4 linked regions of the Schizosaccharomyces pombe genome follow. The gene in region 2 interacts genetically with the main gene of each other region. Each region holds a gene or a part of one and is shown on either strand. Other genes may lie near its edges. The genes, in order: pub1, any1, tsc2 and tsc1.

Evidence for each region.
Region 1: of any1 (region 2) and pub1, extra expression of one rescues a mutant of the other (dosage rescue), as found in Schizosaccharomyces pombe (2 studies listed by BioGRID, with this or other methods).
Region 3: of any1 (region 2) and tsc2, changing one suppresses a phenotype caused by changing the other (phenotypic suppression), as found in Schizosaccharomyces pombe (2 studies listed by BioGRID, with this or other methods).
Region 4: of any1 (region 2) and tsc1, changing one suppresses a phenotype caused by changing the other (phenotypic suppression), as found in Schizosaccharomyces pombe (one study listed by BioGRID).

Annotation. Positions count from the first base shown.
Region 1 is NC_003424.3:3,960,051-3,967,565, forward strand, and holds pub1 (HECT-type ubiquitin-protein ligase E3 Pub1), read left to right. Parts: upstream 1-3,015; 5' UTR 3,016-3,272; coding exon 3,273-3,289; intron 3,290-3,340; coding exon 3,341-3,363; intron 3,364-3,414; coding exon 3,415-3,559; intron 3,560-3,701; coding exon 3,702-5,820; 3' UTR 5,821-6,122; downstream 6,123-7,515. Other genes in the region: protein Mtl2, read left to right, coding at 1-1,458; isocitrate dehydrogenase (NAD+) subunit 1 Idh1, read left to right, coding at 6,785-7,515. UniProt on the Schizosaccharomyces pombe protein: E3 ubiquitin-protein ligase which accepts ubiquitin from an E2 ubiquitin-conjugating enzyme in the form of a thioester and then directly transfers the ubiquitin to targeted substrates. Regulates ubiquitination of cdc25.
Region 2 is NC_003423.3:1,806,723-1,813,251, reverse strand, and holds any1 (arrestin-related substrate adaptor Any1), read left to right. Parts: upstream 1-2,932; 5' UTR 2,933-3,764; coding exon 3,765-4,850; 3' UTR 4,851-4,994; downstream 4,995-6,529. Other genes in the region: Tf2-9 (retrotransposable element/transposon Tf2-type), read left to right, coding at 1-504; phophatidylinositol 3-kinase complex subunit Vps38, read right to left, coding at 5,272-6,288, 6,353-6,523.
Region 3 is NC_003424.3:368,627-377,351, reverse strand, and holds tsc2 (Rheb GAP, tuberin Tsc2), read left to right. Parts: upstream 1-3,220; 5' UTR 3,221-3,387; coding exon 3,388-7,407; 3' UTR 7,408-7,511; downstream 7,512-8,725. Other genes in the region: transcriptional corepressor Tup12, read left to right, coding at 236-359, 421-508, 906-1,258, 1,522-2,669; SPOM_SPAC630.12 (lipid phosphatase), read right to left, coding at 7,512-8,725. UniProt on the Schizosaccharomyces pombe protein: Together with tsc1, required for uptake of various amino acids from the environment and for proper conjugation. Involved in induction of gene expression of permeases and genes required for meiosis upon nitrogen starvation.
Region 4 is NC_003424.3:672,533-681,161, reverse strand, and holds tsc1 (Rheb GAP, hamartin Tsc1), read left to right. Parts: upstream 1-2,902; 5' UTR 2,903-2,923; coding exon 2,924-5,623; 3' UTR 5,624-5,841; downstream 5,842-8,629. Other genes in the region: G-protein-signaling regulator Rgs1, read right to left, coding at 1-986; THO complex subunit Tho2, read right to left, coding at 5,842-8,629. UniProt on the Schizosaccharomyces pombe protein: Together with tsc2, required for uptake of various amino acids from the environment and for proper conjugation. Involved in induction of gene expression of permeases and genes required for meiosis upon nitrogen starvation.

The sequences.
Region 1 (7,515 bases), on a different chromosome or scaffold from region 2:
TCTAGTGCTACTGCAATTAGTTCTTCATCATCGTCTTCACCTCTTTCATCCTCATCTTTTACTTCTCCTGCTTCTTCTTCTTTTATCACATCTTTGGTCTCATCAAGCAGCCAACAAAGCTCTAGTAGCAGTGCTTCATTGACCTCTAGTAGCAGTGCTACACTGACTTCCAGTAGCAGTGCTTCCCCGACCTCCAGTAGTTCGAGTCACGCGCTTAGCAGCAGCAGTAGTTCTCTTGTCGCTAGTAGTTCCTCCAGTGGGATGTCCAGTAGTTCCTTAAGCCATTCGTCTAGTGTCCCATCATCTAGTTCTTCCTACCACAGCTCTTCCATGACTACGAGCGGCTTGAGTTCTTCAGCCAGCATTGTCAGTAGTACGTATCGAGATGGACCCTCAATAATCACATTGGTCTCAACTTCTTACGTTTCTGAAGTGGTGACCCCCACTACTACTAATAATTGGAATTCCTCCAGTTCTTTCACTTCCAGCACTTCGTCTACGCCTATTAGCTCTTCTTATTCTTCCAGTGGCACTTTGCCCAGTAAATCTAACAAGTCAAGCAATCATGTCGGCGTAGTTGTTGGTTGTTCTGTTGCTATTCCTGTTGGTGTAGTTCTAATTTTGATTGGTTTAGGAATTTTTCTTTGGAAAAGGCATCAACGGTCCAAACGAATTAAGGCTGAGCGCATGCAAGAAGTCGAGGAATACGGATTTAACCCCAATCAACCCTCCAATTTCCGTAGCCCAAATCGTGCTCCCTCTACTAATAACAGGTATCGTGGCTGGAATGGAAGCCCAACACCTGCTGCTGGAAACAATACTAACGGACGGCCTGTTGCTCCTAGACCTTCTGCCGGCGCTGGCGGAGCCAATCCGCCTGCAGCTTCTCAGCCCGGCCTTTTGGGTGGCAGTAGTAATTCAGCTGGTCCAATTGCAGCTGCTACCGCTGCTGGTGTCGGTGCTGATGCTTCTGATGCAGCTAATACTGGTGGAAGCTTTACTCGTCCTCAAGGAGCCCGTATGGTTAGACCGATTGGAAATCCACCTGATCTTTCTGCTTCTAACGAAGCTGAAGCTACAATGCCTCCATCTAATGGAAGCAACTTTTCTGAAGGTTTGTCTGCATCTCCGTTTGAGTCAGGCCCTGCTGTTGGTGCCGCTGGAGCTGCGGCCGAAGCTGCAGAACACAGTGGTTCTGGTTCAGATTCCTATCCAGAAGGTCCTTTAGCTACGATTCCTGAAAGTGACAGTGAAAGCATGGCTAGTGATTTAGCTGGAGAATCCTCTTACGGCTCGAGGGCAGCTCTGTCTAGTCGATCTCAAAGCAATCTTCTTTCCCCAACAAGCACTGGTGCTTCTAACCAGCCCAATTATTCACCTTTTGCTGACAACCCATCAAGTAGCAACGTTTCTATTCCTCGGTCGTCATCGGAAGCTCGCAGGTTGAACCTGTTTTAAAGTATGCGCTTAAACACTTGTTGCGATAGATTTAAGCAAAAATTATTTGTTTACAATTTCTGGATATATCCGTCGCTTAAAATAAATGCGTTAGTTACGCTTGCCTTCAATTGATGGTAGAAAGTCTTGCGAAGAAAAGCTTGCTCATCACTTTTTCGTATAACAACTTTTTCTTTATTCGGCTTTTACCTTTGTTTTTTACGAAAATCTTAAGTAATCGATCTTTTCAATCTTATTGCTATCTCTTTGTTTTACCGTTACTCACTCATTTCCTTTTTGCTTGAACAGTTTTATGGTATTAGAAATTCACATTCTCATTGCAAAGCTTTGTTATTATTATGGGTTTCGCTTATACCATCTCATACAATCAATTGGTCCGTCGGTTTACTTTCTTTAAAAAAGGAGTTATTTAGCAAACTATTTATCCTTCTTTCAAACTTTCTTTTTAAACTTAACTATTTGCTTTTTCTCATGGCCCTCTTTTTTTAAGAAAATTTCGTTGCTTGCATTTCATTCAAAGTCTTAAATATGTCATCTGGTTCCTTAACTTATTGCTTTTAAATCGACTTCATCTTTTGACTGACTTTTGAATTTTTCTTTCAATTGTTTCACTGTAGTGAGATACAACCCTTAAAAAAGTCTCTTTGGTTTGTTTATTCTTATCCTTTTCTCATTTGCATTTCATTACTTATCAATCATTTCTGTTTCATTCGCCGTTTCGCTTTGTTTTTTCATTTGTACATTTCTTTACAGAATGGCGAATTCTTGTCAAATGCGACGGAAAGCCAATTTTCCTGAATAGTGTAAAACGAAATGAAACTTTTAACAGCTACCTGTTTTCCATCCCATGGTTTCTTGTTATTGAAAGTGGATAGCAAATAGTCTTTATGACCAGCCATTTCAATTTTACTTTCAGTCGCCTAACCAATCTCGTTATCTCATTTCTTTGAAATAAATGTACATACTGTACTTTTTCCTTTTCTTTTCCTTCCGTTCCTTTTTCACCGTCTCGTATATGTAATGGAGCGTCACGTTCCCTTCGCTGCACTTATCGCTCTTACTCTTTCGTCATGTTGAGGACCATCTAGCTCTACTTTCTCTCGTGTGGCTGGATGTTTACTTAACTTTGTTTTGGCCAGCATGCTCGACTACTGATAATTAAAAAATAAAAATTTTGAGCATTGTCTGTTTAAGAGTTGTTGCTAAGTTCTGGCTTTATTACTTTTATTCGCGGCACTCCGTTTGCCTTCTTGTATGTACCTTTTACAATTCTTCGTTTCCTCTCTTTCTTCTCAGTTCTAACTATCACTTGAACGCAAAGTGGTTAGATATACATTTTCCTCATTCTTTCGTATTAAATCAATTTATTAAATGCTTATAGCTTGCAAATCATACATTGTGCTGCATGATATTTACTTTCGTAGTTAACACGTAAAACGTATTTTCTGTACGCCAAAAAAGATAAAGAACAATTTGGTAATCGCGTTGTATATATATAAGGAAATGGGTTATAATGCGTTAAGGATCTAATCTGCAAGACCGATTAATTCTCCTTTCAGCCAACACCACGCGAAATCCGACGGATTTCAAAATTGTGCGCTGAAAGCACGAATTTGATTAAGGATTCCTTTTGTAGTTCTTTTTTATTTATTTCGTTCCCGAAAAAAGCGTTTTTGTATCAAATAGAAAGGATAAAACGGCCTTAATTGAAAGTTTTTTTTGCAAGCACAAATACTTGACTTTCTTTGGGAAATTGGCTTTTTTTTATTATCCAAAAGCAACGCTGGTTTGAAATTTTACCATCTTTTCCCCCTATGTCAAACTCAGCTCAGTAAGTAGTTCTTTAACTGCTATAAACACATTTGCTAACTTTTATGATTAGATCTCGTCGAATTCGAGTAACAAGTATGTGATGACATTATTCAAATGCCCTGTGCAAACGCTGACCCAAAATAGTTGTTGCTGCTGATGGCCTTTACAAACGAGATGTGTTTCGTTTTCCTGACCCGTTTGCGGTACTAACAGTGGATGGTGAGCAAACACATACCACAACTGCTATCAAAAAGACGTTAAACCCTTATTGGAATGAGACTTTTGAAGTGTAAGTGTATATCCCAGGTTTTGACCTTTCCAAGTAACTTTTATGTATATCAATTTTAGTTGGGGTTTCTTCCAGTTTATCCCTTATAATTTAGCTAATGTTAACTTTTTGATTAAAAACAATGTTTCTAACAATTCTTTAGTAATGTTACAGATAATAGCACCATTGCGATTCAGGTGTTCGATCAGAAAAAATTTAAGAAAAAAGGCCAAGGCTTTCTAGGAGTGATAAATCTTCGTGTTGGAGATGTGCTCGATCTCGCCATTGGAGGTGATGAAATGTTGACCCGCGATTTGAAAAAGTCAAATGAGAATACAGTAGTTCATGGCAAGATAATCATAAACTTATCAACGACTGCGCAGTCAACCTTACAGGTTCCATCCAGTGCAGCATCAGGTGCACGTACCCAACGTACTAGCATTACCAATGACCCGCAAAGCTCACAAAGTAGCAGTGTGTCTCGTAACCCTGCTTCCTCTCGTGCTGGTTCACCTACCCGCGACAACGCACCTGCTGCTTCCCCTGCTAGTTCAGAACCTCGCACATTTAGTTCATTTGAAGATCAATATGGGCGCCTTCCTCCTGGATGGGAAAGACGTACCGATAATCTTGGCCGAACTTATTATGTAGATCATAATACAAGAAGCACAACGTGGATTCGCCCCAACCTAAGTTCTGTTGCCGGAGCAGCCGCAGCCGAATTGCATAGTAGTGCATCGTCTGCGAATGTTACCGAAGGTGTTCAACCTTCCTCTAGCAATGCAGCTCGTCGTACAGAAGCTAGTGTTTTGACCTCTAACGCTACTACTGCTGGTTCAGGAGAGCTTCCACCGGGATGGGAGCAAAGGTATACACCAGAGGGTCGACCCTACTTTGTGGATCATAATACGCGAACTACTACTTGGGTGGATCCGCGCCGTCAACAGTACATTCGTTCCTATGGCGGTCCTAATAATGCTACTATTCAGCAACAACCTGTCTCTCAACTTGGTCCTTTGCCAAGTGGTTGGGAAATGCGTCTTACCAATACTGCTCGTGTATATTTTGTTGATCACAATACCAAGACTACCACTTGGGATGATCCTCGTTTACCTTCGTCGTTAGATCAAAACGTTCCTCAATACAAACGTGATTTCCGTAGAAAGTTGATTTATTTCCTTTCGCAACCAGCTTTGCATCCTTTGCCAGGGCAGTGCCACATTAAAGTGCGTAGAAATCATATCTTTGAAGATTCGTATGCGGAAATTATGAGACAATCTGCAACCGATTTGAAAAAACGTTTGATGATTAAGTTTGATGGTGAAGATGGTTTGGATTACGGTGGATTATCCCGTGAATACTTCTTTTTGTTATCACATGAAATGTTCAACCCCTTTTATTGTTTATTTGAATACTCTTCGGTTGATAATTATACGCTTCAAATTAATCCTCATTCTGGCATTAATCCAGAGCATTTGAACTATTTCAAGTTCATAGGCCGAGTCATTGGTCTCGCAATTTTCCATCGTCGGTTTGTTGATGCCTTTTTCGTTGTTTCTTTTTACAAAATGATTTTACAAAAGAAGGTGACGTTACAGGATATGGAAAGTATGGATGCAGAGTATTATCGAAGTTTAGTCTGGATTTTGGACAACGATATAACCGGTGTTCTTGATTTGACCTTTAGTGTCGAAGACAATTGTTTTGGCGAGGTTGTTACGATTGATTTGAAGCCGAATGGTCGAAACATTGAAGTTACAGAAGAGAATAAACGCGAATATGTTGATTTGGTGACTGTATGGCGCATTCAAAAACGTATAGAAGAGCAGTTTAATGCATTTCATGAAGGTTTTAGTGAGCTCATACCACAGGAACTGATTAACGTGTTTGACGAGAGAGAATTGGAGTTGTTGATTGGAGGCATTTCCGAAATTGACATGGAGGATTGGAAGAAGCATACGGATTATCGTTCATACAGTGAAAATGACCAGATTATTAAATGGTTTTGGGAACTTATGGATGAATGGAGTAATGAAAAGAAATCCAGACTTTTACAATTTACCACTGGTACTAGCCGAATTCCTGTCAACGGGTTCAAAGATTTGCAAGGAAGTGATGGCCCCCGTAAGTTTACTATTGAAAAAGCTGGTGAACCCAATAAACTTCCCAAGGCCCACACCTGTTTCAATCGACTTGATCTTCCTCCTTATACTTCGAAAAAAGATTTGGATCATAAATTGTCCATAGCTGTTGAAGAGACGATTGGTTTTGGTCAGGAGTAAAATGGATAGCTAGCTATTGATTACTTTTGATATTTGAACTATTGGTGTTTAACAGTGAAAAAGAATTTCTGTGTAAAGTTTCCGAAATTATTTTTTTTTTCTCATTTGAGTGAAAATACTTGGATCATCATGTTCTACCTTTGTGTTCTCTACTACCATTTTCCTTCTTCTTTTTATACTTGTTTGCAAACACATTTCCTCTTAATGCTCTTCGCACAAAACATATAAGTTAATTTACTATTATTAAGTTACGTACTGCATAAGTGATTTTATATTTATGAAATTACCGCCCTTTTTCAACATTTTATTTGAAACTGTGAGTAAATAGGTAGTTAGTTGGTAAGGTTTTTGTATCCTGTCCAGGTCGTTGCTTATGTGGTAGTTACCTGGTCACCGTAGTAAATAGATGACATGAAAAGTTTACCCACAACTATAGGCTTTATTGAATGAAAAGGGCTTATTAAGAAAACAATAGCCGCTTCAATACATGTGTAATCAGACCGCAGAGCTATGACAGTGAAGTTGTGTTTATTATCGTAAACATTTATCATTTGTTAGTAATAAGTTGAATGCTTATACATTGGTCAAAATTCAGTAATATCGAATTCGATAACTATGAAATCTCGTGCAAATATTTATTTTTTGGATGTGTGAACCTATAGTAAATAGTATAAATTCTTATAGCGAGTTAAAAAACAGTATAAACCTTGATATTAGAGTAGAAGGTGAAATATCGTGATACAACTACAAAAAGTATTCTTTTAAAGAGGTTAAAATGTCATTGGATAAGGTAACAGAATAAGGTTCGTAAATTGCTACCTTTAAGGAGAATTGGGCAGTGGGGTAATCGATGGATGTGTAGGTATTTGTTTGGGGGTCTCATCGGCTTTCCTTTACCAACCACAATAGCCTTGTAAAACAATCCTGTTTGCATGTTACAGAAAAGAAGTAAACAAGATACATAATGTTCAAATCACTAGTAAGAAAATCCTCAGCTTTTCAACCATTAAAGTATGGAGGTAAATACACGGTAACGTTGATTCCAGGCGATGGAATTGGACGAGAAACGAGCAATGCAGTGACAGAGATCTTTAAAACGGCAAACGTTCCTATCGAATTTGAAGAAATTGATGTTACAGGAATGGAAAAAAACAATAAATCGTCTGGAGACGCGCTACATGAGGCAATTCAATCTCTCAAGAGAAATAAAGTGGGTTTAAAGGGAATTCTGTTCACTCCATTTGAAAAAGGAGGCCATACCTCGTTCAATGTTGCCTTGAGAAAAGAACTCGATATCTATGCCTCTCTAGTGCTCATCAAAAACATTCCTGGATTTAAGACTCGTCATGACAATGTTGATTTTGCAATTATTCGTGAAAACACTGAAGGTGAATACTCGGGTCTCGAGCACCAGTCGGTACCGGGAGTCGTGGAATCTTTGAAAATCATTACAGAATACAAATCAAAGAGAATTGCACAATTTGCTTTTGATTTTGCCTTACAAAATGGCCGCAAATCGGTCACTTGCATCCACAAGGCTAACATCATGAAATTGGCCGACGGTCTCTTTCGAAGGACGTTTTACGACGTTGCTAACGGTTACGACGCTATTACTCCTAAGGATTTAATTGTCGACAATGCCTCCATGCAGGCTGTTTCTCGTCCCCAGCAATTCGATGTTTTAGTGATGCCGAA
Region 2 (6,529 bases):
GTTAAAGAACACTTGAATACAAACAACATAAAGATGAAAAAGTATTTCGATATGAAAATACAAGAAATTGAAGAATTTCAACCTGGAGACCTAGTTATGGTCAAAAGAACGAAAACAGGTTTTCTTCATAAATCCAATAAATTAGCACCTAGTTTTGCAGGACCGTTCTATGTGTTACAGAAGTCGGGTCCAAACAACTATGAATTGGATCTTCCAGATTCAATCAAGCACATGTTTTCATCTACTTTTCATGTTTCTCACCTAGAAAAGTATCGACATAATTCAGAACTCAATTACGCTACCATTGATGAGTCTGATATTGGAACAATTCTTCATATCCTAGAACATAAAAACAGAGAACAAGTACTCTACTTAAATGTCAAGTACATTTCGAATCTAAATCCGAGTACTATTATGTCAGGATGGACTACATTAGCTACAGCGCTACAAGCGGACAAAGCAATTGTCAATGATTATATTAAAAACAATAATCTAAATATCTGAGAACATATGACTTATCCTCAGATTTACATAGAAAATCTTGGGGAGGGCAATGTCAGCAATACTACACTACGCTATAATACACTACGTTGAGTATCACTATATGTCACATGTTCTAATTATATATCGTACCATGTATGATACGATATGGAGATTGATCTTAATGATAATCTATTAAGATCAATATTATCTGAATACTATAAATAGAGCTACTGCTGAACCTCGTTCCTCAGTTCAGTTATGAGCTATATTAGTGATAGGTAACATTATAACCCAGTTAATACAATACCTATACTCAGTTGCTACTTATACAACCTGTGTATTGTAATATAATAGATCACAAGGAAAACTCACCGCAGTTCTACGTATCCTTAAATCAGATACCAAACTGCGTAGCTTACATTAATGAAGCAGAATGAAATTCACTAATCTTTACAGATTTTTTTAATAATACCGTTGCATACAAATACATAGGTAAATGAATGGACTAAGAGTGTTTGAGCATGTACACTGTTCTGTACTGTATAAGTTTAATAATATTGTAAAGTTTGATCTTTACAATGTCCTTCTTTTTCTTCTTTTTCTTTTGCCCGTTTTGTTTGTTTTTGCTCGGTCTATGATAGAATTCGATGATACCTATCCAGAGTCAGTAAGTAAGGTAAGGTAGGGCAAAAAAGGGTAGGTAAAAAAATCTGATGTAGCTGTTTAAGTGGAAATTAAAGATGATGAGAAAATTCGACGACATTTATAAGATGAAGGTTTCAGTGTTCCATACGTTCTTTGTTACCATGATTCTTTGTTTTCTAAAGCGGGAAACTTACGGGAATAATTTATAATACTGCGCAGTTATGTTATGTTGGCCATAACGAGAGCGATGATGAATCATAATGATCCATCATGGCGATCAAATGAGACGGAAACCAAAAAACCGTACGAAGATGGACACCGATTGGAATACAAATTCATAAGGAGCAAGTGTCAGTAATAAGAGAGTGATATTAATGATGAAAGAATAATATCAACAACAAAAAAAGTAACATTATTTGTGAATGAGTAATATACGCTGCGTACGTAGCAATGTTGCATGTCAAAAACAGAAACAAAATTAGAGATTGTGTGCCAGTGCAAACAAAGAGGCCTTGTAGCATAAGAATCGCCAAATTGCAATGGGCTTATTAAGAGTATTTTTGATTACTTACATTCACTCTGTCAGCGAGCCAGACCTTCCCAGAAACCGCCTCTTCGATCAACCCATTTGCCTCATTTGTTGATATTTGCACTGTTTGTCGGTAAACACATTGCTTGTTTTCACCATTTGCTGCTCTCGAGCCTCCCTTGTCTTCCTCGATCCGAAATATACCGTCTTGCTAATTGCAATAAGTTACAATTCCAAATCTCCTTACTACGTTGCTGCCTTAGGATTGTGCCTTATTCCGCGGAGAGCATTCACGGAAGAATTATAAAACTATTATTGTACACCAAATTACAAAAATGGACTTTAATTTAACAAAAAAATTTTTCCTTTCCTTCTATGGATGTCTTTGCTTTTCAACTTTTATCCTTTCTCTTTTGAATTAAAAATACTGATTGAACCTCTTTTTAATAATATTTATTTTCTTATATACGAACGGTCACAAGGGCATTATTCATCGGCTTCCTGCGTATTTTGCAGATCAGGCGGATACAGATCGACGGGATGCTCCTGACCTTATGAATAGACTGGTACGAGTAAGGCCAACTGTGATGATTTCTAATAAAACTAATAAGCAATTTGTAGCCTCGAAGCTTTTGCGCTGGTAGGTTACAATAGAGTATTTCTTGCAACAGTAGACACCTCTCACTTGCTACGTATTACTTGTGGCGTGGGGACATACTGAGCTTATGGGAGGAAACAAAACAATGACAGTGAGATCAGATCAGATTTAGCACCATGAATATGATTGAGAATTCCTTCTATCCATTTTTGTAAACTTCTCAAGGAAATATTATATTACACAGGAAATCATTGTATTTCTATCGGTATATTATCATACACCAAAATCTTTAGCGGTTAACTTTCTCGCACTGTATACACAGCTTTTATAAAAAATTTCGTTCTCTTGCTTTTTAACAGATATTTTCCTTACATACATATTTCAATTTTCTGCACAAGCTCGTTTCACTTTATTCCGTTATTAATTGATGTAATCGTCTCATCGCGGCCCTCTTTCATCAAAAAATTCGTCACTTATGGAAACACGGTTCTCTGCATTAATTCGTTTAGCGTAAACCTAATCACCGTTATTCCAGAATAACATTAACGGAAATAACATGCGAAAACAATTACACGAGATTATTTTTTATGACGCAAAATCTTGATACCGTAACTTCTATGCGCCTCATTAAAATAAATTTTGAGCAATCATCCCATCTCTTCATGTTTTTAACATTCACCGTGAACCAAGTATTTTCTAGTGATTCTTGAAATCAAAAGGGCTTTAAGAGATCGATTTCTAGTGAAATCGCTCGTCAGTTTTGTCTTGCTTTTTCTCTAGATTTTGGTGTTCAATCGACTTGGTTTGCGTGGACTGCTGATCTATTGCGAATCTTGCGAATATAAACTGCCCATCGAACCTCTCATTTTCTCTAGCCTTGGGTTTCTTTTCATTTTTTCAGCTCCTCTTAAGAAGGTGTGTGCTCTACTTTAATTGACAGTCTGCTATTTTTTTTTAATTAGCTTGTTCTTACACATTTTTGGGTTGATAATTCACATGAGATTTTGAATTATTAAAACAAAAACATCATCACTAAGGGAGACATAAAGCAAACTCATAAAGTTCCTTTGTTCAGCTTTTTTGTTACCTTACATCCCTGTGTTAAATTCAAGTCGGTTTACTTCTTTCTCATCAATTGGATTACTATTACTTTCTACGGAAGAAGAATAGGTATAAATCATCTTCAAAAAAATTTGGATAATAGGCGAAAGAAAAAAGTCGTTGGTTGTTTGGTTTAACGACTTTTTTTCTTATTTCCATACTTCGTTAATTCTTTCTTCTCTTTAATTTCCTGGTGGGTTTTTCCTTTTCACATTTTTTAAGTTCAATTTAGCAGTGTTCTTCCACTGTAGGGTTTGGTTTTTTTAGGTGTACTTGGCATTTTTACACACATTATTTTATTCCTGGTTTATCATTTCATACTGGTAATTTTTTTTAAAAAATTTTCCATTTCTATTTTTTTTTCCATTCCTTTGTTTTACCGACAAACGCTTAGATTTTCTTATTACTATGCCATTAAAACTTGCACTACCTCGTTCAACCACGCCAAAAGACCCTGCTCGCTGTACGTTAGATATACGTATGGAATCACCGCCGCTGGTATTCCTTGGCTCGCCGGAAACGTCTAGTGGTGCACTTGCGTCTGGCATTTTAAAACTGACGATTTTACATCAACCTTTTATTAAAGTACATACCCTCAAGCTGCAACTCATAAAAAGGATCACCGTTCTTCATCCTGCAATCTCTCATTGTTCTGCTTGTGCGGGTTCAAAAGAGGTTTTACAGACTTGGGATTTAGCTGCAAATACCACATATAGACCTGGTACTCAGCATTGGCCTTTTAGTTGGCTTTTCCCTGGTTCGCTTCCTGCTTCGGTTTCTAACAGATACATCAAGCTTGAGTATTATTTAGAAGCTACGTTATGCTATGGTACTCCTGAAGGCGGAATTTCTCCCTCGAAGCCCGAAGTTCTTAAGTTTCCTCTCCAACTAAAGCGAGCTGCCATTCCTTCGCCTGATACCATCCATAAACGTATCTTTCCCCCTACGAATCTTGTTGCAAACATTACTTTGCCCAGTACCTTGCATCCTCATGGAGCTGCGCTTATGGAAGTTACCATGACTGGTTTTGCCCAAAATGACGGCAACGATTGGAAGATCAATAGAGTTACTTGGAGATTGGAGGAGCATATGCAGTTTAGTTGTCAACCATGTGAACGCCATCGTGATTTGGTAAAACCTCGACCTATTGAAGAAAAAAGAATTTTGAGTACACAAGATTTACAATCGGGATGGAAGTTCATTGATAATCAGATGTTTCTATCTACTCAAATTAACACATCTTCTTTAAGAGAGCCAAGCTGTGACGTGGAAATTCCTGCCCCTTTTTCCTTAAAAGTCTCTCATCATTTAATTTTTGAGACCATTGTTAATAGAAAAAAGAACGTTGCGGGAAACAATATGGGCAATGCCCGTATCTTACGAGTATCAGTCGTTCAGCCACTTACCACGCCAGCTGGTTTAGGTATTAGTTGGGATGAAGAATGCCCGCCAGTTTTTGAAAGTGTAGGACCCGCTCCGCCTGCCTATACCTAGAATATGTGGGTCGGATGTAACCGGAAGAGCTCGATCACCATCACATAACTATCAAAAAATGAACATGGCTCTTTTTATTTTTTAATTCACAAGTTTTATTAATTTAAGGGAACTATTTATAATATCTACATTCATCATTATCTGTTTATTTTTATATTTTAAACGTAAATGCATTGTATAGTAGTTGTCGCAATGACAATGAGTAATATGCCTTCGGCAAATGTCCATAAAAACTCTTCATTAAGATGATTAAAATTAAACCGTGAAATGGGTATATGAATTTCCAACAAAGAATACGAAAACGAAATTGATTGTTGAGAGTAAACTAGGGTGAAAAGATACAATTAAACGATAGACAAGTTATGCGTAGTTTTGCAATTAACGATAATTTAGGCTTATGGTGCCTAAGCTTATGGAATTGTTAAGGAGCGGTAGACGTTACTTGTACAAAAGATAGATGTTGTCCTGATAAAATAAATTGGAGCAGTTTTTTAAAGTTCCTGAGTATGTCCATGGATTGGTCAATAGGTAATCCAAAAGTTTCTAAAAAATCATTTACATCCTGGTTGAGAAGATAAATGGCATGTTCAAAAAGCTCAATTGGTCGAGTTGCTGGATAAAGGGGAAAGATACGCGTGGGGATGTCGGGTGTCAATGTATCCAGGATGGAGGATCTCGAAGATGCGCAAAGAATTGGATAAGCGAGTTCTTTTTCGAGATACTTTGAAAGAGTTTGAAGTAAATGCGCCAAAAATCCTATGGAAGCAGCCATTTCCACATTATTAATTTTATCTGGCTCAAAAGATAGGCGGAGATTGCGAATTGTAAACTCGTCATGATTGCCAGGCGATGGTTGGATTGGGTAAATTTTGGAAAGATGGGAAACGTGCATACGAATAGCATGTGCCATAAGGATTCGAATCTCTATATTGGTCTCTACTTTTGTTTTTAAAGAATTGGCAAGTTCCACATACTCAGCTTCATCTTTTTGAAGGGATTCTTTGGATTTGTTCAAAGTGTTCCTTTTTGAGGATAACCAGCTTTTCGTCTTGTCAAATTTCGTCCTCATCTGAGTGATGCTATTAATTTGTTTTTGCCAAAGATGTTCTAATTTAGCCAGTTCATCGATTTTTTCATCCCGAAGTAACATCCTTTTGTGCATCAAACGTATCTGCTGAAACTCCTCCTCCTGAAAATGAGCTCGAATTTCATGTTTAGCAATGTGCATTTCATCTATGCATTCAGCCAGTTTCAAAATTCGAGTGATTTTCTGAATAGTGTAACCATCCTTCCGCCTGTCTATAGAATATGTGGAGGCACTTTTTGGAAAGGAGGTCTGTCTCATAATATCCGAAGACTGGGATGTTGTGTAGATGTAAACGCCATCATTAAATTCACATAAAAGACCGTTTCGAATATGACAAACTGCAAAAACAGGCTACAAATAATATGTTAGTCAACACAAGGGAAACATAAGGTAAACCAAAAATATTCAACCGTACATCATTACCAATATAACGAAAATTACTGTCATATCTCAAAATTTTCCATTCTTTATGTAGCTTGAAGGCATGACTACTTGATGAGCACCAAGTCCTCACGATAAAGTACTCTTCGTGACGGTATTTTTGAAGCTTTTCGGTTACTTTTTCATCGACGTAAAAGATGTGATTCTAATG
Region 3 (8,725 bases), on a different chromosome or scaffold from region 2:
AACTGCGGCAAGTTGAATGAACAGCCAAATTACTAATTCAACAATATTGTCTCGCTAAGCATAAGTGAAATTGTCTTTCCTGACATGTTAATCTCAACATAGTTTGCTTACTTTAGCTTCGAAGCCGAGAAGGTTTTACCGAAATTAACGAATGTTATTTCTCGTTATTTCTCAAACAACATCATTCATGATTACTGTCCGCCAATTCACTTTTACCATCTTCAAGTTTCAATTTATGGCGACGTCCAATGTATCATCACGTGTAAATGAGCTTTTAGAAGCGGTTAAAAAGGAATTTGAAGATATTTGTCAAAAAACTAAAACCGTTGAAGCTCAAAAGGATGATTTTGAATATAAAGGTATCTTATACAAGAATTTGCTGACAAATTTGCGGTACAAATCTAACACTTCTTAAATTAGCAATGATATCTGCACAAATTAATGAAATGGCGCTCATGAAACAAACCGTTATGGATTTGGAGATGCAGCAGTCTAAAGTGAAGGATCGGTATGTCAATTTTCCTAATACACGCTTGGCGAGAAGGTTTGTTATATTAGTACAAGGTTATGCAATTATTGTGAGTGTTGTAGAGTCTTACAAAAGCGATTCCTCTCTAAATATTTATACAATTTACGGTCGTTGACGATAAATCTTTAAAGATGCTAAATAATGGTGGCTCCTTTGATGGGAGTAAATTCTATTAAGTAATCTTTTCATATTTTTACTCCGATGAAGGGTATTTCGTTTTTTACTCAGTATTTGGATGTTTATCACTGTTCGAAGATTCTCTGTCCTTTTCACACTTTTGTCAGCACCAGCATGCCTTCTGCTATGTGAACATTTATTCTCAATTTTATATTATATTTTCTCGAAAGCTATCTTTCTTGTTACTAACTCTCTCTAGTTACGAAGAAGAAATCACCTCCTTAAAAGCTCAACTGGAAGCTAGACGCAAAGAAATTGCTTCTGGCGTCGTCCCACAGTCTTCGAAAACTAAACACGGGCGCAATAGCGTTTCTTTTGGAAAATATGGAAATGCGGGCCCTTTTAACTCGGACAACTCCTCGAAACCTTTGATACTTAATAACGGTTCTTCTGGAGGAACTCCTAAAAATCTTCGATCACCTGCCATTGATTCAGATGGTACTGTTTTAGCTCCTATTCAGACCTCGAACGTAGATCTTGGTTCACAATATTATTCCAGTCCTCATGTACGCCCTGCTGTGGGTGCAACCATGGCTGGATCTGCTATGCGAAGTAAGTTCAAGCTTGCATTGTAGCTTTTGGCAACAGCATTTGTTTTTTGACTTGATCAAGTTTATAGATACTTTTTGTCTTTCACTTTATTGTTTGCATCTGGTATGTTGTACACCGTATGTTCCCAGACAATTTTTTAATGCTGTCATTAATTCGTTTGAATTCCTTGCGGCTTTTGTTCATTTTTTGTAAAACAAAATACTATTGCCGAAACTATTTTGCTTCCTCGTTTTAATTTGGATTTTCTTACTTACCATTCACAGCATTTCCTTCCAATTTACCGCTCGGACATCCTCCACCTCCATCTGACTCAGCTAATTCTTCCGTCACACCTATCGCTGCTCCTTTGGTTGTAAACGGAAAAGTCTCAGGTAATCCTCCTTATCCTGCTGAAATTATTCCGACATCCAATGTGCCTAATAGAGAGGAGAAAGATTGGACTGTCACTAGCAATGTACCTAACAAAGAACCCCCGATCTCTGTTCAACTACTTCATACACTGGAACACACAAGCGTTATTTGTTATGTAAGGTTTAGTGCCGATGGAAAATTTTTGGCTACGGGTTGTAACAGAGCAGCTATGGTTTTTAATGTGGAGACCGGTAAATTAATTACGCTTCTGCAGGAGGAATCTTCGAAGCGTGAAGGTGATTTATATGTTCGCAGTGTAGCATTTAGTCCTGATGGTAAATACCTTGCTACTGGTGTCGAAGATCAACAAATCAGAATATGGGACATCGCTCAAAAACGTGTTTATCGTCTACTGACTGGGCATGAGCAAGAAATTTATTCCCTTGATTTTAGCAAAGATGGAAAAACATTGGTTTCTGGTAGTGGAGATAGAACTGTTTGTCTTTGGGATGTTGAAGCTGGCGAGCAAAAACTAATTTTGCATACCGATGATGGTGTTACTACAGTAATGTTTTCTCCCGACGGTCAATTTATTGCTGCAGGTTCTTTAGATAAGGTAATTAGGATTTGGACATCGTCCGGAACTTTAGTAGAGCAGCTTCATGGTCATGAAGAGAGTGTTTACAGCGTTGCCTTCTCTCCTGACGGAAAATACCTGGTTAGTGGAAGTTTGGATAACACAATTAAGTTATGGGAGTTGCAATGCGTCTCCAACGTTGCACCCAGCATGTATAAGGAAGGCGGTATTTGCAAGCAAACTTTTACTGGACATAAAGATTTTATTCTAAGTGTCACTGTCTCTCCGGATGGAAAATGGATTATTAGCGGCTCGAAAGACCGAACCATCCAATTTTGGTCCCCCGATTCTCCTCATTCTCAGTTAACTCTCCAGGGACACAATAACTCAGTAATATCGGTTGCTGTTAGCCCGAATGGCCATTGCTTTGCTACTGGTAGTGGTGACTTACGAGCAAGAATTTGGTCTTATGAGGATCTGTAAGAACTAGCGATGTTTCATTTATAGCATTGAATGACAATGTCCGAAACCTACTTAATTTTTTAATTCTTCATTTGCCAATAATGCCCATTGACCATTGTGAGACTCGCTTCTTGGCAAGTCTTTTTTCCTTTATTTTATAAAAATTCATAACCGATTTTGTAACCCTTCAAACTTGCGGCTTATTTTGGTCGGAATTTTTCTATCAAGTCAAGCCGACCAGATGTTTTTGCTAATTCTTGAATCATTTCAATTCCCTTTTTTTAATTTTTGATACTTCCATACAATCCCCGACAACCGAAACTCTGATTTTATCCATAGTATTTCATTAACTATTAAATCCCAACTTTTGTATATATTTAATAGACCCTTCAAGTTATGTATATGTTTGCGCGACCTAGCTACTTAGCAATTGGTTTTTACGGTTAAATAACTTCATATATTTTTTGAATTTTGAATGTCGAATACTAAGTTTCTATTTATTAGTTTTAATGTCGTTTCAACCTATTCCTCTTAGATAAGGTAATGCTTCCCCTAATTCATAGCAGCCTGTCAGCTCTCCTCCCCACCCCTACCAGTGTAGCTAATACTTGAAATCAACTTCCATGCTCATAGTTTATGATCTTGAATATTCCATTAAGTTAAGAGTTCAGATTTGCTTTATGTGGTTATTCTGCTGAAGGTCCTAATTTATTGACGTTGAAAAATAAAGGCCACATAGATGAACAATAAATCACTTTTGGATCTTTCTAGTGAGCCTGCTATCAAAGATACAGACATTCTATCATATTTTGATGCTAACCTTCCTTTTAAAAAAAGGCATCAGATTGTAAGGAGTATTTACCATGGCTTAAAATACTATATATATTCATCGACTTCTATCATTCAAGTATGGCAAAATATTCAGGATTTTATCTCCACCAAAAACGATAATGCTGCTTTTCGGGAGCTTGTATACAATCTTATGATGAGATATGTTTCTACACAAAAGCATCTCTCGATTATAGAGCGCCACACTTTTTTTCAAACTATTGAGAAAGATCCTTTTCAAGATATTGCTGAATTACAGCTTCGGCTTAAGAGTTTGAGTGTTTTAACGGATGAAGGGCACAAAATCTCCGGTATTGAGAATAGGGTTGGTCCTTTGTTGAGTGCATGGTTTAACCAGTATCTTCAATGGCAATCTCAAGCAACTGAATTGCAAGGCAAAGACGCAGATTCAAAGCTCGTACATTTGCTTTTTTTTAAAAGCCTTTTTAAGTTTTCTACCAACTTAGTAAAATTTCAGTGGTTCCTAGTGCCTGAACCTCAAATGCTACAGCTTGTTAATTCCGTGGTACAAATATGTAATCACGCTCGCTTAGAAGATGTGGTTACTGAGGTTCTGATGTTTTTTGATTCCATGATTCGCTACTCGGTTATTCCAAAAGCTTCACTGTATGATACTGTTCTTATTTTGTGTAGCACATACATCAGCACCTACTCATATTCGAAACTTGCACAATCTGTTATATTTAATCTTATTAGTAGTCCCGTGTCAAATCTGGCTTTTGAAAACGTATTTAATATACTTCAATACAATCGCTCGAATGTTAATGCTGTACGGGGCGCTGTGCGTTTAATGCGTTTTCTCATGCTGCAAGAAGTGAAAAATGATGCAATAGCTTCTATAACTTTAAGTTCAAGTATTGAATTTACTGAGTTTCCATTAGGATTTAATGAGAATGTTGATTTTGAGATCCTTGGTACTGTGTATCTTTTTTTACGTACACCTTCTATATTAAATCGCCTTAATTTTTTGGATTGGCATCGGATTCTTAATATTTTAATGTATTGTTCACAATATCTACCTTTGAAAGCTAGTACATCGAAGGAAGCATTTTCGAAGACTGCAGCATTTGCTAATATATATGATCGTGTTTTGGATTTTTTGGATTTCGAAGCCTTGATTCCACTGCTGCAACAATTTCAGGTTAAGCTGGTATTCTTTTTGAAGGATGTTCTTCCAGTGTTAAAGCCGAAAATTCGAAAAAAACTTTTACGTCTTTTTGAGACTTACAATCTTATATTTCCTTGCAATCAATATTGGGTATTCAACCTTGAATTTTTACTTGGTATTTACCAATGCAAAACATTTGATCTTGAAGATCGAGCTCTTTTATTTAAGCTTGTGGAAGATGCTTGCTCTGTTGCTGATGAAAATTCGGCCCCCATTTTGTGTTCGAAATTCCTTTTTCCAGTAATTGAAAGCTTTTCTAAGGAATCTGATGATTGTGTTGTTTCTCCTGTATATAATATGTTGTTTTTCTTGTCTGTCAATTTTCAAAACCCGGGACTTAAGGATTGTATCGATCATATTTTTCAACAGCTAATTTCCGACACGAGCTCTGTTACTGTTCGCAGACTTGCCACGAGTACATTAATTCGTCTTTTTTATTATTATTATGACTTAAGGGATGCTGTGCCTATTCAAGAAACACTGGCTAAAATGTTAGAAATCTTGGAGACTCCATCTTTCCCTTTTGTTTCTCGAATGTTGTGTTTACAATTCTTTCTTCGATTTCGAGCAAATGGGACGTCTATTTATATATGTGAGAATATAGATTTGAATGAACCCTTCAAAGTCTTAAACGTTGATTCAGAACTGATTCCTGCAGTTTATCCCATTTCTGATTCTTTTGTTAACTCAGCAACAGTAGAAAAGCATATTTGGGAACGAAAAGAAAACGATTTGATTAAAATTTCAAATCATTCTACAGAATATGGCAAGGACTTTGTAACGTTCCCAACGTCTTCCTTGTTAAGGTTTTATCGAAAATCCATGGCTACAGAGTCTAACTGGACTATCCTTATGTTCATGATTACCCACCTTGCTGATCAAATAAGTAATAGGAGTATGTTTATCGGCGCATTAGAAGAAATCTATAATTTACTTGATTTTATGTGTGATATCGTTTTTGAAAGAGTTTCTATATCTGCTGAAATTCCTTCTAATATTCGTAAGGCCAACATCATGATACCAATCTTGCAAAACGTACAAATGCTTTTTGTTTATCATGATCAATTCAGCAGGGCTCAGGAAGATGAATTAGTCAGCGTTTTTTTTGCAGGGTTGCAAAAATGGAACGAAGCATGTCATGTTTCTATTCATTCACTTATGTTATGCTGTTATGAATTACCCGTTTCAATTCGAAAGCAGTTACCTGCAATTTTAGTCACTTTGTCAAGGTTAATCACCAAACCTGATTTGAGCGTTCACATTTTAGAATTTTTATGCAGTTTAGCAAGATTACCTGATCTTATTGCAAACTTTACGGATGCTGACTATAGACAAATTTTTGCAATTGCTTTGAAATACATTCAGCACAGAGATTTCACTAAGGAGTCGAAAGATTCAAATGATACGGAGAGCATATTAAAAAACTCTTACTCATCATACGTTCTAGCTCTAGCCTATAGCGTGTTACAAATATGGTTTCTTTCGTTAAGATTAACTGAGCGTAAAAAATTCGTACCTTGGATATTGCGTGGACTGAAGCTTGCTTCTGAAGGTAAACCATTGGAAGATTTATGTCTTGTTCAATATGACATGATGCAACAATTTTGCTATTCTAATTCCGACATCAATAACCAAACATCTACTTTTGTTGACTCAGACGTGGAAAGTGAAACTTGGATTCGTGGTAATTCACTCTTTACGATAAACGTGTCGGTAAACTCTGGATTCTTAGAAGCTGTCATTCGTCGCCCGACAGGTACTACGCAGTATACTTTTCGAAATGAAGCAAGTCTGCAAAAGTTTTTATGGGAGGAAAATCTCACAAGTTCAAAGGCTCTTACGAGGGGGCTTTTGTGTACTCCTAGCAGCTTTGTCTCTCATTTCTTGGATCCACATGGTATTTCTTTATACAATCAGCCTCTTCTGCTTCCCTCTAATGATGATTCTGTGCGTAGGGCTATAAGTGTTTTTGACCGTATTCCTGTAATTGAATCACTGAAGGCTGGTCTTGTGTACGTTGGGTACCAACAGCGTCGAGAAGCAGACATATTGGCAAATACAAATCCTTCTGAAGATTTCCTTACTTTTCTTAACGGTCTGGGCACATTATTCGAATTAAAAACAGATCAAAAAGTTTTCGCTGGTGGTTTAGATAGGGAAAATGATATAGACGGTGCGTTTGCGTATTGTTGGAAAGATAAAGTTACCCAAATGGTGTTCCATTGCACTACAATGATGCCAACTAATATAGAACATGACCCTGGGTGCACATTAAAGAAGCGTCATATTGGAAATGACTTTGTTACTATTATATTCAACGAATCTGGTTTAGAGTACGACTTTGATACAATTCCTAGTCAGTTCAACTTTGTGAACATTGTTATTACCCCTGAATCCGAATCTATCAGAAGAACAGGGCGTCAAATTAAATTTTATAAAGTTAAAGCGTTGACCAAATATGATATTGACTTTAGCTTATTCCGTCGTTACAAAATTGTTTCAAGCGATGCATTACCGGCAATTGTTCGTGATGTAACTCTGAACGCTGCCGTTTTTTCACATATATATCATCGCAGTGCTGGTGATTATGTTCATATATGGGCTGAAAGATTACGACAGTTAAAAAGATTACGCGAAAAATTTCAAGCTTCAGTTTTACCAGAAGACTACAATCTCGACGAGCAAACAAAGACCAAGCTTCAAAATGGCACGAATTTTTCGGACTTTACTAGTTATTTATGAGCCATAAGGGCATATAAAAAGTCCTAAATTAAAAGATTGATTACGATTGTGCCTTGCCATCATTAATTAATTTTTTTTATTTAATCTTAAATATTATTTATAGATCAGATAATGAAGATGTTAAGGAAGATGAATAAAAGAAACGGTATCCATGTATATGAGATGAATGTAGAAAGGGTTATGCGCACAATTTTTTTAAACAAATGAATTGTTGTTGACAATGAAAATCGGCGTGCATGAGTTTTGTAAAGTGGGAGGCTATAACGGTCAGTTCCAAAAAAAAAGATAGCAGTCCTCAATAATATAAGAGCAAAAAAGATGGATATAGAAGCACCATACCAAACATAAATTTGAATTTGGTTAGGAAGAATGCATAACTTTGTCTGATAAGAACTTTTTTGATCGGCTTTAGGGTTGTCATAAGGATAGTTCAATGAGAGAAGTTGATATCCCGGATATAGTATGCCGCTGGTCATAGAAAATGCCTTCACATTATATTCCGTGGTGGCTGCTTCTCGAGTATCCACCTGGTAATTATGCACAACTTCGCAATAATCGTGATCGTCTCCAGCAAATGCGGCAATTGGTTCAACAGCTTTTAAAATAGACTCGGAAAGTTCTGGCAAAAGCAAGTTTTGATACTGATATCCCAAACCATATTTGATAACATCATCTTTTTCACGAAGCTCCCCGCAAGAATTGATGGCAGGGCGAAACAAAGGAACGTGAGATAGAAGGATCCTAGGTCTCGAGTTGTCCTTATTTGTTTCAAAGCTTTTTAAGAAGTCTCTAGCCGGTTGATAAACTTGGGGATTGACGTTGTTTGATAAACGAATTCCATCTACAATAACCAGTGTATGATTGCCAACGTCTATTGATCGAGATGTTGGACCAAAAAGAGATTCAAATCTTTGAATATCCTTAACAATAGCGTGATTACCAAATCCAATATCATGATTGCCAGGGTAGATTTCCAATTTATTGGTGAATTTTGGGTCAAGGACGTTCATCATTCTGAAATAATCTTTTTTAAATTCTTCAGTTGCGAATTCTCTACCTGTGTCCATCAAATCGCCCATTATGAAAGTAATATCTGGCTTCAGTGATTTATGAAGATAACGCCAATGCCGACGAAGAAACTGGTCGGAAATCCATTTAACGATTCCAATTAAAGGTCGAGGATAATCATAAGTCAAATCGTCAACTAATTGAGGATCCGCAACCAATGCAATCCTTACTGGATTCCCAGTACTCTCCCATTGCTCCCAAGACCGCCAATCGCACTTTTTATGTGGCCTTGTATGAATAATTTTCTCGA
Region 4 (8,629 bases), on a different chromosome or scaffold from region 2:
ATTAATTTATTATTGGAGACATTTTTAGTCCATCCTAGAGTCGCAATTCCCTTTCCAGTCAAAAAATAGGAAACACCCTTTGCATAGCTAAACTTTAAAGGAGTCTCGGAATTATTTTCGTAAGCAATGTATGAATGAATTAACAAATCGCTAGCAACAGTTTCCATTTCCGACCAGTCTAGGAGCATAGTGTTACACATAAGCCATTCAGCTATGTCAATGCCAAACATTTGGTATTTGGTGACTTTGCTTAAGGAGTCTTTTGGAGAGGGACTTGAAACGGAGTAAACGGGTACCAGAAGAGGGTTTTTAGATTTCCCAATTTCATGGACGCTTCCAAGCATACGTACCAGCAACATTTCACAAAAAGAAGAATCCTTAAGTATTTGATCGGTACTTGAAAAGCGCGAAATGGAAACAATGACGGGCGCAGAATGATTCCATTTGGAAGCGTAAAGCTCGGCTTGAGAATTATGTCCGTTATGTTGTAGAAACTCACTAACAACAGAGTAACCTTTCCTTGTAAGTTGAAGAAGACATTTTTCGTTTGAAAATTTTCTAGCCGATGGGTTATTTACAATTTGCAGCAAACGAGCATTTAAAAATGTATTACATAAACATTTAGCAGCAGTCTTAGGTATCGTAAATTTGGTAGTAGACTTTAAGACTTTACTGCCGCATCTACTTTTAATGCGGTTTACCTGACTCAGCTGAAGATTTTCCAATGTTGAAAGCAATTGCAATAAGGTACAAGAGTTTTCCACATATGAGAATCTGTACCTGTTCCGAGAAAAATTCGTAGAAATTACCATCGTCGAGAAGAGCTCCAAAAAGTCCTTGCTATAGGGTCTACCATTAGAGGTAATTTTCATTAATCGAGAACATTGTTGACGTTTATCGCCGGAATCTATTGAATTTCCGTTGCGATAAGACGTAACAGCTTCATAACTGGGCGGTGGTGAAGAAGGGTTATGAAGGGCGGGCATCCAAAGCTGATTCTTACTTTTACGAATTTGTAGCCTTTTATCATAAATAATAAAGTGATGAACAAAAGAATTGTGATCTTGCTAAGCGAAAAAGCGACAGAGATCGGGCAGCCAAGCACAATGGAGTGTTAAATATTGTTTCTTTTATTTTTTTAAAAGATAAAAGAGAAGTACAGAACTCAAATAAGATAAAAGAAATTTAAATATATAGTAATAGTCCCACTTTCTTGATTACCGTCAATTTTTATAATCAATTACGGGTAATTCGATACTAAATCAGGTCTCCAGCTGTTTTCAATAGGTCTGATCCCTATTAAATTTAAAATCGAATGAAGGATTGGAGCAATTTTGTAAACGTCGATATAGGCACACTGATGAAAATTCGGGAAATGCCTTAGTATTTATACTTCGAAGTTTCCCATCTAACCATTGCTATACGCTTTCTTTTAAACAAAGAAATCATTAAATGGCGAACAATGGGAACTTTAACGGAACAAAGAACATTGTGCAATTGATTTGTTTACCCCAACAAATTAACAGTGAGAAAGCAGAACAAAGAAAACAGGTAGCAATTTCCACCTTTCGTCAACTTATTCCGAAAGGGGTTTTAATGAATCGGTAAATTTCATGTGATAACACCGATTGAATAATAATAAAAAAAGAATCAAAATAAGACATTTAAACAAGGATATGCAGTCGCTTGCCTATTTTTTGAAAGGAAATATTATATAAACTAGTAGAAGGAGATATGCTATGGCTGGATAATTCACAGATGGTTGGTAAATAAAGCTTACCCAGCACTCCTGGAGACTGGGGAAAAACAAAAAGTAAAAGAAGTAAGCAAAAAAGGATTATAAACAGTTACAGATATTTTGATACTTCTTAGTTGTTCACTGCATCTCTCCTGTTAGTTCCATTGGGTACTGAAATGACCCCAAAATATGCAATGAAAATGAAATGGCTTTTGTTATGAAACTTTACATCGCCAACTTGGAAGACTTTAAGATATAAATTAAAAAATATTGGTGTTTGTAATTATTTACAAGCACCGGCTTTCCCTTTTCCATGACTATATTCTTTTCTACTTTGCGCCTTGCAACGCTTCTTACACCTGCCCTATAAAAGTTTTTTTTTATTAATGAAATATTTTCTCTCTAAGTGACTGTAACACACTGTGGAATAACATAGCAGTTAAGAGTATGTCGTTAAAAGTGCTTGAATATGTTACCATAATATTAGACCGACTCAAATTATTTGCCCTCTAACTTCCTTTGAAAGAAAAGTTCCCTAGGAATCCTTAATAGTAAAACCGTTTTCTTTTTATTTTTACATGTTTATTCAGAGAACTCTCAATGTGTTTTCGCATTGTTTGCTTTCGTATTTCCTCTGTGCTGAAAATGCGAACACTGCCTACTATACTGTATAGTCCTAGAAATCAATACTTAATACATTCTTTAAATTTTGGAGATGGATCAAGTACCATGGTATAGATGATGTTTACATAATTTGGATAAAAATTACAACTTACTTTACTACTTATGATTCCTTCAAATAAAGCTTGTTTAAAACAACGTTCCTCAATTCAATTTTTAGCTATATAAGTGTAATTATAAATACTTCTTGGTATTCTTAACGAGTATTTTAGGATATTTATAACTATTTACAATAAATTTATTATACTATGTACATTACACTAAAAAATATCATTGCAGTACTATCGTATCTTAAAAACGAATTACGACCTGTATGGTTGACATGTAATCTAGTTAAAGGATTTTTGGATAGCGCTGTATAATTTGGTTGAAAATGCAAAGACTAATTAAAAAAATGTGGCAGACTACGCTATCCTCGTTACGTTTATCAATGCTGCCAAGACTTGCTATCAGTATAATGTCGCATAGTTGTATATCAACGTTGACTTTGCCAACTTTGTACGAATGCCGCTGCAATCGCTAGTCAAAGCATTATGGAACGTCCTTCATGAAGAAGAATCGGAAGGCTATCCCGATTTGACTGAGTTAATTGCGGAAGTTGAGTCGTATCAGCAGCGTTATCCCAAACAAAACCCCACTAACTCACAAAAAATAAGACACATCTTGGACGAGATCTACGAAAAGACGCCGTTCAATAATACAAGGCGACGGATACTATGGCTAGCTGTGTTGAAAACGGTTATACCGTTGTTGATTTTGGATCGCCAAGCAGTTGGTGAATGGTGGGACCAGATCTTTTTTCCTTTCTTGAATTCTCCTACCCAATTGAAACCGGTATTTAGTGACTTGAAAAGTATTTTATTTTACATTTTAATTTTTCACGACGAGGATGAATGGGGTGGAGACTTGAGACGGGAGTGCGCTGAGGAAACTATCACTCGTTTGGTTGACCTTTACGTTTCTAAAGCTATCGAAAATCTAGGTGACGTGGAATCTCAAGAGCAAAGGAATCAAACTATTGAATGCTTGGTTAATGTTCTCGTCCATTATGGGATACAGAGACCAAAGGAACTTTCTTCTTGTTTTTGTCATCATTTTTTAAATCCTCCAACCCGAATCCCTATTTTATCAGTTATGGTTGAAGTAATACGGCGGCAAGGTCCTCGTTTATATGAAATACCACAGACTGGCTTCTATGACCTTGTTTTAAAATGTGCGGAATTTGATACTTCACCAATCTTACTGTCGTATGCATTATCTTTCATCCTTATGATACTGTCTCACATTTGTAACTCCTTAGACGATTCCTTATATAGATTGTTCTGTATCTATCTTCGATTTTCAATGATTGACCCGACCTCTGGCTTCCCATCGTCTACTGCGTCTGGTAATTGGGAGGTGTTTCACGATTTTATGTCAACGTATGCCTCAACTACCACCTCTCAAACAGATAGCTCTTACAATGATGTTCATGATATTGTTGGTTCTTCTCAACCAGATTATCTCGAAAGTCTTGACTACTCTCAACTTTTCTCAATTTTGTACGCTCTGTACCCTATAAACTTTTTAGAGTTTCTTCGGGATCCTAAGTTGTATGCTTCTAAACATAATTTCCAAATACGTTATTCCTTTAATCAAGAACTCCTCTCCACAAAGTCGGATGGTCTTCTCGGTAGACATTTGGCACATTCTAATTTTCTTAAATATACAGCAGAAACAGAACTTACCGATAAATCCCGTTGGACAAGACTTGATTCTATTGCTGTAGTGGCCCTATGTAATAGTCTTAACGCTGTTGGAATAGCCGAAAGTGTTATGGATCCTTTTGGTGGTAAGCTTCCCACCACTTATGAAGAGACAAGTTCAGCTACTGGATTATTGGCCTATCCAAATGAAAGCCATGATATTGCTTCTGAGCCTTTTTCCATATCTTGGCCTCAAAATCCATCAATATCGGGTTCTGTTCATTCCGCGACTACATTTGACAAAGCCCAATTATCAAATACTGAAGATTCTTATGATAATATTTCGCATGGTACATCATATAGTGAAGGTGTTTCCTCAATTCACATGGTTAAAGGTGAACGCGGCTCAAATAATTTGGAACTGACTAGTGAAAGTTTGAGCAGCACGAACGATACAATTCGACGCTTACAAAGGGATCTGCTATTTCTTCAGAATGAGCTCCGTTTTGAAAAATTTGTTCGTCAGCAGCACTTGCAAAATATTGGAAAGCTTCATCGTGAGCACATACTAGATATGGCTGTGGAATCAGAAAGGCAAAAATTGCTTTTAACCAACAAAAGATATAAAGCTCAGATAGAGTTACTGAATTCTGAAATTGACAAACATCGCTCAGAATCACAGGCAGCTCTAAATCGTAGGGTTAAGTGGGAAAATGATTTTAACAACAAAATAAAAGCGTTACGAGAAGAAAAGAAAGCTTGGAAAAGTGAAGAATCAGAACTCAAATCATCAATTGAATCATTAATCTCGCAATTGGAATCAATACGAAATTCTCAAATTGACATTGCGTTTTCAAAAAATCAACTGGAGTTGAAGCTTCAACTCTATGAAACTAAGTTGAAAGAATATGAACAGCATTTGAGCTGCGTTAATATCTCCAAAAAGCAAGTCTCTTCGAGCTCTGATACTTCTTTTGGAAATACGAAGATGGACAGTAGTATGATTCTCTCTAACAGTGAAGCTGTTAGTGATGAGCAAGAAAGAGAGTTGATCGAGTCAGAAAAACATCGAATGAAACTGGAATCAGAAAACTTGCATCTTCAAGCTAATATTGAGCTACTGAAAAAGGACCTGGAAGCCATTAATGTTGTTTACGAGGCTAAGATTTTTGATTTGGAAAAACGACTTTCATCTGAAGCGAACGCACCTGAGTTGCATAATCCTGTCAACTTAAATTACGACGCTCAGTTGTCTAAAATATCCGAAATAAAAGAAAATTACGATGAGCTATTAACGCGGTACCGTGAGTTGGAGGGCAAGTTTTTAGAATCACAAGCTGAGGTCGAAGAATTAAAAAACTTTCAAAAACCGCTTGTTGATACTGGAAGCTCAATACACAGTAGCCCTGGTTTGCAACAAAGCAAGTTCATAATTCGTAATGACTCTTTGCATCCTAAAGTTGGCCCGCCACGTAGACAGTCTACTGATACAAGTCGTTCTACGTTTCGCCAATACTAAGTAGGTATATTTTTGAAGGTCCTTGAAATGAACTGGTCAATTATGATAAAACATACTTGCTCATTCCATATAAAATAATTAGATTACGATTTTTCACGACCATCATAATTCTGTGTATGAATCTCCTTATATAAAGATTTTTCATTATTTCCTTGTAATTACAAATTTAGTTAGATAAGAAAAAAAAGCTGACATCTAGTTAAAGCTTGAAACGTGGATCATTGAATTTTTCTTCTTTTCTCTTCTCGAGCAGATCGAGATGTTCTATCCCGTGGACGATCTCTTTGCTGTCGTGAATCCCGATCCCTTCGGTCGTCTTGCCTGGCCCTACGACGAGAATTTTCTCTTTCATCTTCCTCTCGTAGGTTGCTCGGGCTTTGACTATCCGAAGATCGGGGACGTTTATTTGAAGCATAATGAGTGCTACGACGACCATCTGCATCTCTGGAATCATTTCCCCTATTAGATCCATTACTTCTTCCAGCCCGACTAATAGCATTATTCTGCCGAGAATTACTCTCGCCAGAAATATCTTGCCTTTTGTTTTTATCTTTCCCTTCTGTAACCTCATCACGTTTATTATCGTTGCTTGTCCTATGATTAGCTTCAGACGAGCGCTCTCTTGAAACATTAGTGCTATTGTTATTAGACACTCGAGGGTTGCGATTTACGTTTCCATTTTGGCGCCATCTGTCAGATTTCTGTGATTCATGTTCACGCCTAGCATTTAGGTTTTGTGCTTGCTGAGGCTCGCGTCGAGTATGACGAGACACGCTCCTTAAATTATCGTTGTTTTCATTTGTAAAACTTCTTGATTGAGGTGTTCGGTCTCTAGACTGATCCTCTCGCAATTTACTGTCTGATCTTTGTATATCCTCATTCGTAGGGGTGCGTGTTCGTAAAGCACGTCTGTTTCCTTCAGGAGTTGTTTTTCTACGTCTTTCTTCTTGTTTTCTTTCATTAGCTGAGCTTCTAGCTTCAACCCTTTTCTCTACTGCCTTGTTCTCAACAAGATTTTTATTGTCAGTTTCAGAAGCAACTGCGTCGGAAGGCGTACTATCAGGTACAAACTCTGGTGCACTAGGATTCAAAGCTACTTTCTGTTTATCAATCTTTGCCTGTTCTTCCGATATGGAAGCAGTTTTGGAATCAACTGCTGATGTAGCTGCCACTGAAAGTTGTTGCGGTCTCTGAAGCTTTTCTGAATTACTCGGCCTTACAGTACCAGAAAATGAATTAAAAGAAACCCATTCTGGTTGCTTTTTTGAGAGCTTTGCAAAATACCCCAAAGCCAAAACCTTTAAATCTTCTCGTTTTTCTTCGTCCTTTAATCGTTCAGCGGCTCGTTTCAAAGCACTGCCACTTTCAATTATCAATGGGAAACATGGCAAAATTTTTTCCAAGATTATGACACTATTGTAGATATGCATATATTCAGTAGATAGTAAGCATGACTCAAAATAAGATGTTAGATATTTGTGCCATTTACTAAATAGCAAAACAAATTTGTTATAAGGAAGGACAGCGGAAAGATCGGGATCATTTTGTTCGTCAGACCAATATAACCTGAACCCAGGCAAAGCACCATTTGCCAAACATTCGCGTTCGTAAAGAATTTTGTCCCTGTACCAGCTAGTAATATCATAGAGTACTTCGTATAAAAATCTTCCAAAATTATCAGCCTCTCGTTGTGTCATTGAAAAAATAAATGAAGGCAATTGTGAATTAAACAAAATTTCTAAAAATGACATAGTTGAAAAGTTTGGTGTTCCAAGACTGTGCAAAAGCTTTACAAACTTTGCGCAGTACAAAGCATCATGTGGGCTCATTTTTAAACGGGGAGCAATGCAGAGTGTCCACAAATACCGAGCACAGTTGAATCTAGCATGCTCAAGTCTTGTACCATTAGGAAAAACACCATTTGGAATAAACCATTTCACGCAGTCACCTTGCAAAACTTTTCTTACACTCTCAAGTGAATTAATGTGTTCTTTAAGTTCATTCTGTAAGCTGTTAGACAATTGCATTATTTTTTGTCGGTCGTGTCGATGTCGTGAATAAAATGTGTTAGCGGCGTCAGTTTGCCTAATTTGATCAAAAGCCCGAGAACGCTCAAACTCATAACGTTCCAAGGGAACAAAAACATCATACAGCGATAGCTTCCAAAATGTTAAATAAAAATTAGGTGAAAAATAATCCCAAATTTGTTTAGGTAATAACTCAGTTATGACAGAATTGTCAATACTCCAAACGGGGTTGCTAGCAGTGTTTGGAGATGAAGTATTTTCATAATCAATATCCATTGCATCCTCAGTATTTGAACCAGTCAAACTGTGATCTAAATTTTTGTAACGCGATAGATAAAATGCAACCTGAGGTTGAATATGAAAATCTTGAATTAATTGCTCAAATGAAGGAATCAATTTATAATAGCTCTTTGGAGAGCAAACCATATTAAGAAATTCCATTAAAAGATAAAGAACATCAGAGCATTCGTCTTGAAGAGAAGAAATAAGTTTTAAATGAGAGTTTTCATCAGTAACATCATATATACAGGTCGAATATTTTTGAGAGAGTAGTACCAATAGCTGGGTTGCCAATCCGTTCTTTTGCAGCGTATTAAAAAGTCTCATGGAACTTTTCCGAACAACGTCCGGATTTTCATATATAAGAGATAAACTAAGTTGTCGCAAAACTGGTCCACCAGCAGCCCCTTGAATCTGATTGTCAGAGAGATTTGTCCATGGTTGTAGCCCAGTCATCTGCGAAAGCAATTCTTTCAATATAACAAGGTCAAACATTTGGTTCACTTTAAACTGTTTAATCACATATTCGACGATAGAGGTGCAATCGAGGCTCGAGTATCTTCTGAATACACGGCCACAAAAAGATGCTAAACCTTGGAGCCAATGAGCTATACTAGTTCCATCAGATTTCAATCGCTTTTTGAACTCATTGGAAAAGGAAGATAAAATAATAAATGTCAATGCATCAAAGTCTAATGCT